Drosophila melanogaster: one gene and its partner. The protein of the gene in region 2 purifies or fractionates together with the protein of the main gene of each other region. This does not show direct contact. Each region holds a gene or a part of one and is shown on either strand. Other genes may lie near its edges. The genes, in order: Gasz and daed.

Region 1 (4,690 bases), on a different chromosome or scaffold from region 2:
AAATGTTGCTATCTGGGACAAATCCTCGAAGCGGGTCAGCTTGGAGGTGGTGAACCGCTCGCAGACGATGGCCAGATCCTCGCGTCGTATCCCCGTGCCATTGTCCTGGATTTGAAGCAGCTTCAGCCCACCGGCCTTCACCTGCACCTGGATGTGGGTCGATTGGGCGTCCAAACTGTTCTCGAGCAGCTCTTTTAGGGCGTTGGCGGGTCGCTGAATAATCTCGCCGGCGGCTATGCGGTTCACCACCACCTCGTCCAGCTTCCGGATGACTCCAGGCTGCAAATATTCCGCCATGGCGGGAAATCTTCACGCGAAGTTTAATGTAAACAAAAAGTAGTGTGCCCGTTTGTTTGCGCGGGAGTATACAAGAGATAAAACGGTCTATGCGGTAAGGCGGTAAATTTGAATTGTGATATCACTTCGTTTATAAAACGACGAATGAACAAAAATTGCAGAAACATAACTTAATTTAAAACTAAACGAAAAACGGACCGGTTAGTTAACAACTCCTTTATTAATGGGTTAACAAAAATAACTCTTTTCAATTTTTACATTCGATGTTGTATTAATATATATATATATGGTGTTTTCCGTCATAACCTTTAGTTCATACATTTGAATATTTCGTTTCTTTTAGTTTCAGGTATATTCATCAGCTTTGAGGTAACGTTTGATATATTTCTATTGCGTTCTAACATATATAGTCTTAACGAGAAAACGGTTGTTAAATGTATTGAGAGATTACGCGTTTCCTAACAGTTAGAAATAACAATTGATAAACTTCGATTCGAAATATGAGTTAAACTTTTCTTTAACCTAAAACTATTTGGATTTGCAAAAAAATTCCGCCAGTTCAGAGCGGTAAGGAAAACCACGTTCTTCGTAAACGTTGGAAATAATATGAGGAATGTTCTTGAGCGGATACTATGAGAACCACTTGCACTTGAGGCAAATGAAAACTGAGATTCCAAGTATAATGGTGGTGTACTTGAAGTAGCTGCGCACCTTTTTGCGTTTTCGCTCTGCGAGTATTTCGTTGAAGTCAATGAACAAGGGATTCTGAGAGGGGCTAAAGGAACCAAGCTAAAAATATATTTAAAAGAAGTGAGTGTCCTGATACAAGAACAATTGAAATGCGACACTTACATATTTGACTGTCTTTGTGATTTGGTTGAGTACATCTCGATAGCCCTGAAGGTTGCTTTTCATCGCAGCCACCTGCATCTCCGAAGGTTGCCCCATTTTATTGTGCTCCTGGTTTTTGAGGATGAAGCGCAGGGAGGCCTGAATAATGACCAAGTGTTGCAGATGACTTGCGGTGATCAGTAGGATCTCATAGAAGCTGGAAGAATTTTTGGGTTAGTTGAAATAGTAACAGAATAAACCACCACTCACTTGTTCATCTCATCCTTTTTGACCCGAGCTATCGACGAGTTGCTCCAATGATGAAGATGAAAGCTGTAATAAAGGGACATTTTATTACAAGTTCCATAAGAGTTTTAATTCTACTCACTCAAGAATGCCCGTCAGTATCTTGTGACGGAAGATGGGATACTCGATGCCGATCTCGCGAAGTGACTGCTCATCCATGACGAGGAAATCTGCCAGCGAGATCCTCGCAATGGCAAAGTATTGAACCATGTTGCCAATATTGATGGCCTCCAGTATGCCGTTAAGTTCTTGAAAATATTCCGGGCAATCGCTCTTAAGGAAGATGCGTGGAATGTGATCCCTTAGCGTGTTGTAGCCCAGGAAGTGCGTCGGCACTAGGTAAGTGGAGGCTGGTCGCGGCAGGATCTCCAGCAGGTCGTAGTATCCATGGCACTCCGCCACCTGGGTGGGCGTGTAGCCTTTGTTGTTGGCTATCGTGGCATTCGCGCCCGCCTCCACCAACAGCTTGACCACTTCCACGTGATTTTTCTCGATGGCATGAAAGATGGCAGTGCAGCCCTGATTATCCACAGCATCGAAACTAGCATCCTTAATAAGCAGACGCACAACGCCGGCAAAGCCATTTTGGCAGGCGAACATAAAGGGTGTCATTCCATATTTTTCCGAAACATTGATCACGGCTCCGTGCCGCAAGAGCAGGCCCACAATTCTCTCCGCCAGGCACGGATCCTTGTGGGTGGTATTGCAGGCCATCATCAGCGGCATCAAGGAATCCAGCTGCCGATTCACGTTGGCCCCTGCCCTTTCCAGCAGCCATTCAACTATTTTGTAGTGGCCCTCGCGACAGGCGAGCATCAGTAAGTTAAGACCACCTTTTACTGGCTGATCCACTTGGAGGACGAGTTTGCGCATCTCCTCCTGCATCGTCTTGAGATCCCCAGCGACGACTGCATCGTAGAGCTTTTGCTCGGGATCCACGTAAGGAGCTGGTTTCGAGCGTTTCACCTATACAGAAATTACTCAAGTCACCCAAGGAACACCAGAAGGAACAGAACAAGGAACACATACCTTATCCGAGAAGTAGAATCCATCGTAGCTGCTATCAGAGTCGGAATCTGGGGGCGGTCCGTATTTGCAAAGGTTGCTCATCATACAGGTACTTATATAAACCTAATTTAGCAGTTTAAGCACACAACAATTGTGGCCAAATTCAGGAAAAAGGCGAAAGGAGGAAAATGGCAAACAAAACTAGTGAGGGGAGGCGAGGTTCTGAAAAAGTTTGCACAATCGATTTTTATCGATATCATGGCGCGCTTTTTAAACTAAGCTAAATTAAGATAACCGAAACTAATTTAAGCAATAGTAAATTTGCAGTTATATTAGAAAGTTTAACACTCTGATTATGCAGATTCGCAATTTTGTTTTGAGGTGTCATATGTTTAAAGCAAATTAAAAAAATTAAATGCCTTAAAGAAGAAAAAGTTTTATTTTACAAGTATACGATTTAACATAGCGTAGTTTGCAGCTCTACTTCTTTTTATCCTTCTTGGCGTGACGAGGTCCTCCGAAGTTCTTGCCCTTGTTGAACTTATTCTTTCCCGCCTTGTTTGTCAGCTTCACACTGCTCGCCTTTTTCTTAGCAGCGATCTTGGTCATCTTTTTGTGCCGATTGGCCTCGGACCTGGAAAAGGGTGTACAAAATTAGAACAACTATCAACGAAAAGCGAGAAAGAGCTACTCACCTTAGACGCAGAGCTCCGCCACGACTTACATCGGTCAAGTCGTTAGTAAATGCCGACTGACCGCCGCGTCGCTTGGGTTTGCCGTCGGAGGCACCGCTTCTGTGAACTTCGGTGGCGGCTCCTAGTTTGCCCGGACGTTTGCGCAGCTTGGCCATCTTGGCGCGCACAAGGGACACCTTCTCGATCTCCTTCATGGCTCGCTCTTTGGCCAGCTGCTCCGGTGTCTTCTTTCGAGGCTCCTCCTTCTTCTTCTTGTTGCGCTTTGCCTCGAGATCCTTGACCGGTGGTCCATCCTCGCCATCGCCTCCGTACTCGGGTCGCTTACGCTTTCCGGCCGTTTTTCCCTTACCCTTTCCACCAGATGCTTTATCCTCGTCGCCGGTTGTCAACGCTAAGCGATCCTTCTCCGCCTCGCGTTGCTGTTTCGTCTGGAACCAACCACGTCGCTCGTTGGTCTGTCCCAGCAGCTTTCGCTCCGTTTTGGAGAGCTGTTGCTCCGTTTTGGCTAGCTGCCGTTCAGCCTGCTCTTCGTCCAGAATGTTTTCTACAAAACAATACATTTACATCCGCAAATTAAGAAAATGTTACATTTATATAAACTTACGAATCTCTGGCTCCAAGCTTGTAAGTTTGTTGCGATATTTTTCAATAATCTCTGGCGGAATAATACGATTCTTAATGGTACTCTCCGCATTCTTGATAATGTCCTTAACGATCTTGCGCTCCTTTTCACCGGCCAGGGAAACGGATATACCAGCACGCCCAGCTCGAGCCGTACGACCCACTCGATGGATGTAGTGCTCTGTGGTGATGGGCATCACAAAGTTGATTACCGTTTTTACGCCCACAATATCGAGACCACGAGCAGCTACATCTGTGGCGATAAGCACATCAATCTGCTCCTCCTTGAACTTCTTGAGGGACTCCAGACGCTGTTGCTGGGTGAGATTGCCATGCAGTTCGCCGGCCCGGACGCCCAAGAGACCCAATAAAATGTGCAGTCGATGGGCCTGCTTTTTGGTTTGCACAAATACCATGCAATGATCATGGAACGTCCTGCAAATCAAACTAGCCAGAATGGGTTCACGGTCGCCCTCCTTATCCTCACGTATGCGAATAAATTCCTGACGCAGATTGAAGGCCACTTGCTGGTTGTTGTTGACGAACACCTTGATGGGCTTGTCCAGCGATACGGCGGCCAGATCTTTGACCTGCTCGCTCATTGTGGCGGAGAACAACATGGTCTGACGTGTCTTACAGCAGGAGTTGATGATCTCCTTCATCTGTTCGGCGAAGTACTCGTCCAGCATACGATCGGCCTCGTCCAGAATGAGAACCTGTTCGGGATATCAAAAGATATTTAAGTTATTCAGGTAAAGTAAACGTAGGAAACACAATGCCTGTGGAATCAGCTTGCATCTGCCGCGCAGAAGCAAGAACCAGGTTATCCTCTTAGCTCCGCAAAGAGCTCAGAGCGCAAGGATGGAGAATCATCAACTTAAATTCACCTCGATTTCTTACCTCAATGGAATCCAATGTAAAACTGGGCGTAT
Region 2 (3,742 bases):
CAGCCAGCGCCTGCAATCGCCCACGAGTCACGATGCGAATTTAGCCACCTGCAAAACCAGATTGGAAACAATAGTCAAACAACTCCAGGATAACTACGCTAAATGGCAGCTGGCCCATCAGCGGGGCACCTCTATTTGCTATACTATCGAAGCCAAGAAGACCAAGTGTCTGGAGAAAAGCCAGGATGAAGGCAGCTCCCTTTACCCAGATGATCTCCTACTTCCCTGCAACAAGTTGGCCATCATAGCCTCTATTTTCGGGGATATCGCAAATAATACAAAGGAGATACTAAGACAACTGAGAGGCATATTAAAATTACCGGGATCTGCAGCGGATACGATATTCTACAGGTCCTGGAAGTTGCAGCAATTCGTGGTTTTCGCGAAGGAGCTATCCGAAAGATATGAGAAGGAGGCTCTGGTCAAAATGGAAGTTGCCGGTAGGAATAATAAAGCTCCTCTTTGTCGAAAGCAGCCCCTTTAATACGTTTGAAAATTCAAAGAAGCACAGATTAATTTCTCAAATTCGATTTACCATCTTAAATATAATCATGTTACTTTTCTTATAGGTAACATTGCTCACTCGACTGAAAGAAGCCAGCTCATTGCGCACACAACTTTATGGGAATTTCCCGAGCACGTGGACTCCTATGTCCATCTGGGGTTTCTTCTCCTTGCCGAAGAAGTCAGTTTAAGGCAATAAATTAAACAATTTTTCAACTTAATACAACATATGGTTTCTATCAAATGTTCATGTTGGGCAGTAAAACTTCATTACAGCTTTAGATTAAGCGAATGCTTAAAGAAGTAATAAGTAAATTCTATAAACTTAGGTCCTATGAGAAAATCGGAATGTAACTATTAAATGCATCGTTGTGCGTTTTTTTTAAGTCTGAACGGAGATCCGCTCCAGTCGGGGAGCGCTGCGGAACTTGGTCCACCACCAGAACCAGGCGCACGAAAATCCCACAGCCAAGGTGGTGTAATACAAAATAGTAGCCAGGCTCCACTTCTTCTGCAATGCAAATTTGTATAAAGGAAAATAATTTCTTATTGCTTGCTATATTCACCTTCTTGTGACTCTCGTTGCCCTGCACTTTCTTCTGGCTCCTTGCGTTCTGGGCATTAGCTTCGATTTTCGCGAGATCCTTGGCAATCTCTTCGGTGATCTGATTCACGCTTTTTAGAGTTTCCTGGGCAAAGCAGCTGGCATATCGTTTGTCGCCCACCACGACGTCCTCGGGAGTGGAGACCTGCAGCTTGTAGTTGGTGGCCGCTAAAGAAGCGCGCAGGGACATAAAGTGGTTGCCAGCATTGCCCAGAATCTGATTGTTGTAGTTTTCGGCTTCAGGATGGTTGCAAATGTATTCGTAACTGGGATTCTGGTTGGGAATCTTTTCGAACATCTCCAGGAGCTGTTGCCGTTGCTTTCGACACTTGAACCCGAAGAGTTCCAAATCTTCGTCGGTGAGAGAGGCCAAATCCAGATAGTTAATGTTCTCGGCAATAAGTTTGTCCACACAGGTGCTGGCGTAGTCCGTTTCCACGCTGGTAGAGCACAGTAGACCGTTGAGGATCTCCCTCTCCCGGCGTGTGTCCCTGTGAGCCTTTTGGCGAACCCAAGGACGTCGATTGTAGCCCAGGAAAGCACTGTCCAATTCCTTCTGCTCGGTGTGCGAGTGAAAGTTCTTTGTGGCCTCAAACTGAATGGTCGGCGGAACCTTGGCCATCGCCACCAAGGGGACATCCCCCGCGGACATTGTGTGCGTCTTCGTTGCCATAAACTCTGTCAATAATGGCAATTAAATTACCATTAAAATGCAATTGCGCTTAGATTAGATTCGCTGTTAAGAATCGGACGTTTACGAGCACTGCGAGTAGGGGTGGTCAAGATTCCTAACAGATTATGTTAAAAGTAACAGAAGTAGTAAGGGCTCTGTAAACATTTAAAACGTGAATATTAACAATTTAGTAATTTTATTTCCTTTTTCCTATTTCGCATTCTTGTACGAATCGAATTTTCTTCTAATGAATCACCCTACCCAACCAATTAAGATTAAATGCTTAACATTTGTATTTAAAAAGTATAACAAATTGATAAATTGATGACGATTAAGCTTCCTAACTATCCTATTTCTCGGACGATGACCTGTAGATTGGGGCACTGGTGGTGGACGCCTCCTGGAGCTTCTTCATAAACAGAGCCTTTCGCTGCTCATCCGCACTCAGTTTGGTACTTGAAACGGAGGCTTTGATGCGCTCTAACTTGTCGACGTTCGGCTCGGTTAACACCATTAGGCCGTACCCCATTCCTCCGAAGCCAATCAGCCACAAAACGGACTTAAAGTAGGGATTACTAAGCATTTTGGAAGCGGTCTCCTCTAGTCGCTTTTCTTCAAAGCACTCCAATAACTCGCATCCGCCTGTCGCACTGTGCTGTCTCCGACGATTTCACCAATTTTGTAGTAATAGTCCAAAACGAAGGGATAGTTCTCGTGAATATGCTGACGAAACTCTAGGAGCGGATTGTTATTAACGATCAAAATAATTATATAAATATCCTCCCACCTCGATTCGTGTTCATGCGATAATAAACGCCGTAGCTGGCTGCGAAGCAGACTGCCTCGAGGACAAACAGTGTTTTGGCACTTCCTTTGATGAATTTCCAAATTGCAGGTTTTGGTGTTTTGCGCAGCATTTTAAGTGGGAGTTGTAAATATTAAACACGTTTGCTTTCTTACAAAAAAAAAAGGAAAACAAAATCACCTACCAGCTTATCGATAAAACGAATTATCGAACTGGGCCAGTGCTGGCTAACATGCGGCCAACAGCTGGTCGACCGGCTAGTGTGTGTGCGCCTCTTCTTCTTGCCATGTAGTGCAGTGTTTATCTCACGTTTTTGTTTTTGCAAACTGATAACGCGACGCAATTTAGTCTGTAGTGAAAATTGTTTTTTTTTACATCGATGGAAAATCGGCCACGATGAGCGGCAATACACACGGACTCAGCTGGTTTCCACATTTTCCCGACAAATTCGTATCCTGGGGCCAGGAAATCCATTTATACGAAGTGCGCCGCAAAGATGATCACAGCCAAAAAAGTAGGGTTTTCCCCAAGGGATTATGCCACTTTACTTAACCGCCCCCCTTGCAGGTCGCCTGCCTTATATATCCGTGAACTACCTCGCCAACGAGTCGCGCTATCAATATGCCCGCTGCGTGGCCGCCTCCTACCACAGTGACCAGCCCATAATTGCAGTGGGTCTGGCGGATGGCAAAGTCGGGATTTGCAACTTCCGGGACACCTACGACAGCAGCTGGGAGTACAGTGGGTGGACGACAACGCCGATTCTTAGCTGCATCTAATAGTTCTTCATTTCTCGTAGCACCGCGTCAGCAGCGCATGTGCACCTGCCTCGCCTGGAACGAGCTGGATGCCAATATCCTGGCCATTGGACACGATCGCCATCGAAATGACACCTGCATCACCATCTGGGACATTGAGCGTGGAGTTCCCAAGGAGACGGCCAACTTCTTCGGCGTCGGCGAGTCGGCCAACTCCATTTGCTGGGATCGAAATCATCGCACGGTCATTGCGGGAATGAGCCAGAAGATGATAAAGCTGTTCGATCTGAGGCGTGAGTACACATAATGCGACTGGTTATATTTCAACTACGTAGTATTACTTTATTGCCCTTTCACTGATGAAATCTTTAAATCCCTTTCGCAGAGAGTAACGCCAC

The links.
Region 1: the proteins of daed (region 2) and Gasz purify together in Drosophila melanogaster (affinity purification with western blotting; one study listed by BioGRID). This does not show direct contact.

Annotation. Positions count from the first base shown.
Region 1 is NT_033778.4:8,165,900-8,170,589, reverse strand, and holds Gasz (gasz), read right to left. Parts: upstream 2,643-4,690; 5' UTR 2,548-2,642; coding exon 2,464-2,547; intron 2,401-2,463; coding exon 1,517-2,400; intron 1,462-1,516; coding exon 1,399-1,461; intron 1,346-1,398; coding exon 1,150-1,345; intron 1,087-1,149; coding exon 928-1,086; 3' UTR 501-927; downstream 1-500. Other genes in the region: Mlh1, read right to left, coding at 1-297; Rs1, read right to left, coding at 2,923-3,076, 3,138-3,681, 3,742-4,474, 4,659-4,690.
Region 2 is NT_033779.5:2,214,445-2,218,186, forward strand, and holds daed (daedalus), read right to left. Parts: upstream 1,868-3,742; 5' UTR 1,782-1,867; coding exon 1,071-1,781; intron 1,016-1,070; coding exon 887-1,015; 3' UTR 704-886; coding exon of another isoform or gene 570-703; 3' UTR 528-569; downstream 1-527. Other genes in the region: CG34174 (uncharacterized protein), read left to right, coding at 1-440, 570-703; CG15386 (uncharacterized protein), read right to left, coding at 2,131-2,364; CG42371 (uncharacterized protein), read right to left, coding at 2,382-2,515, 2,569-2,698; mio (missing oocyte), read left to right, coding at 2,983-3,100, 3,154-3,327, 3,386-3,637, 3,730-3,742.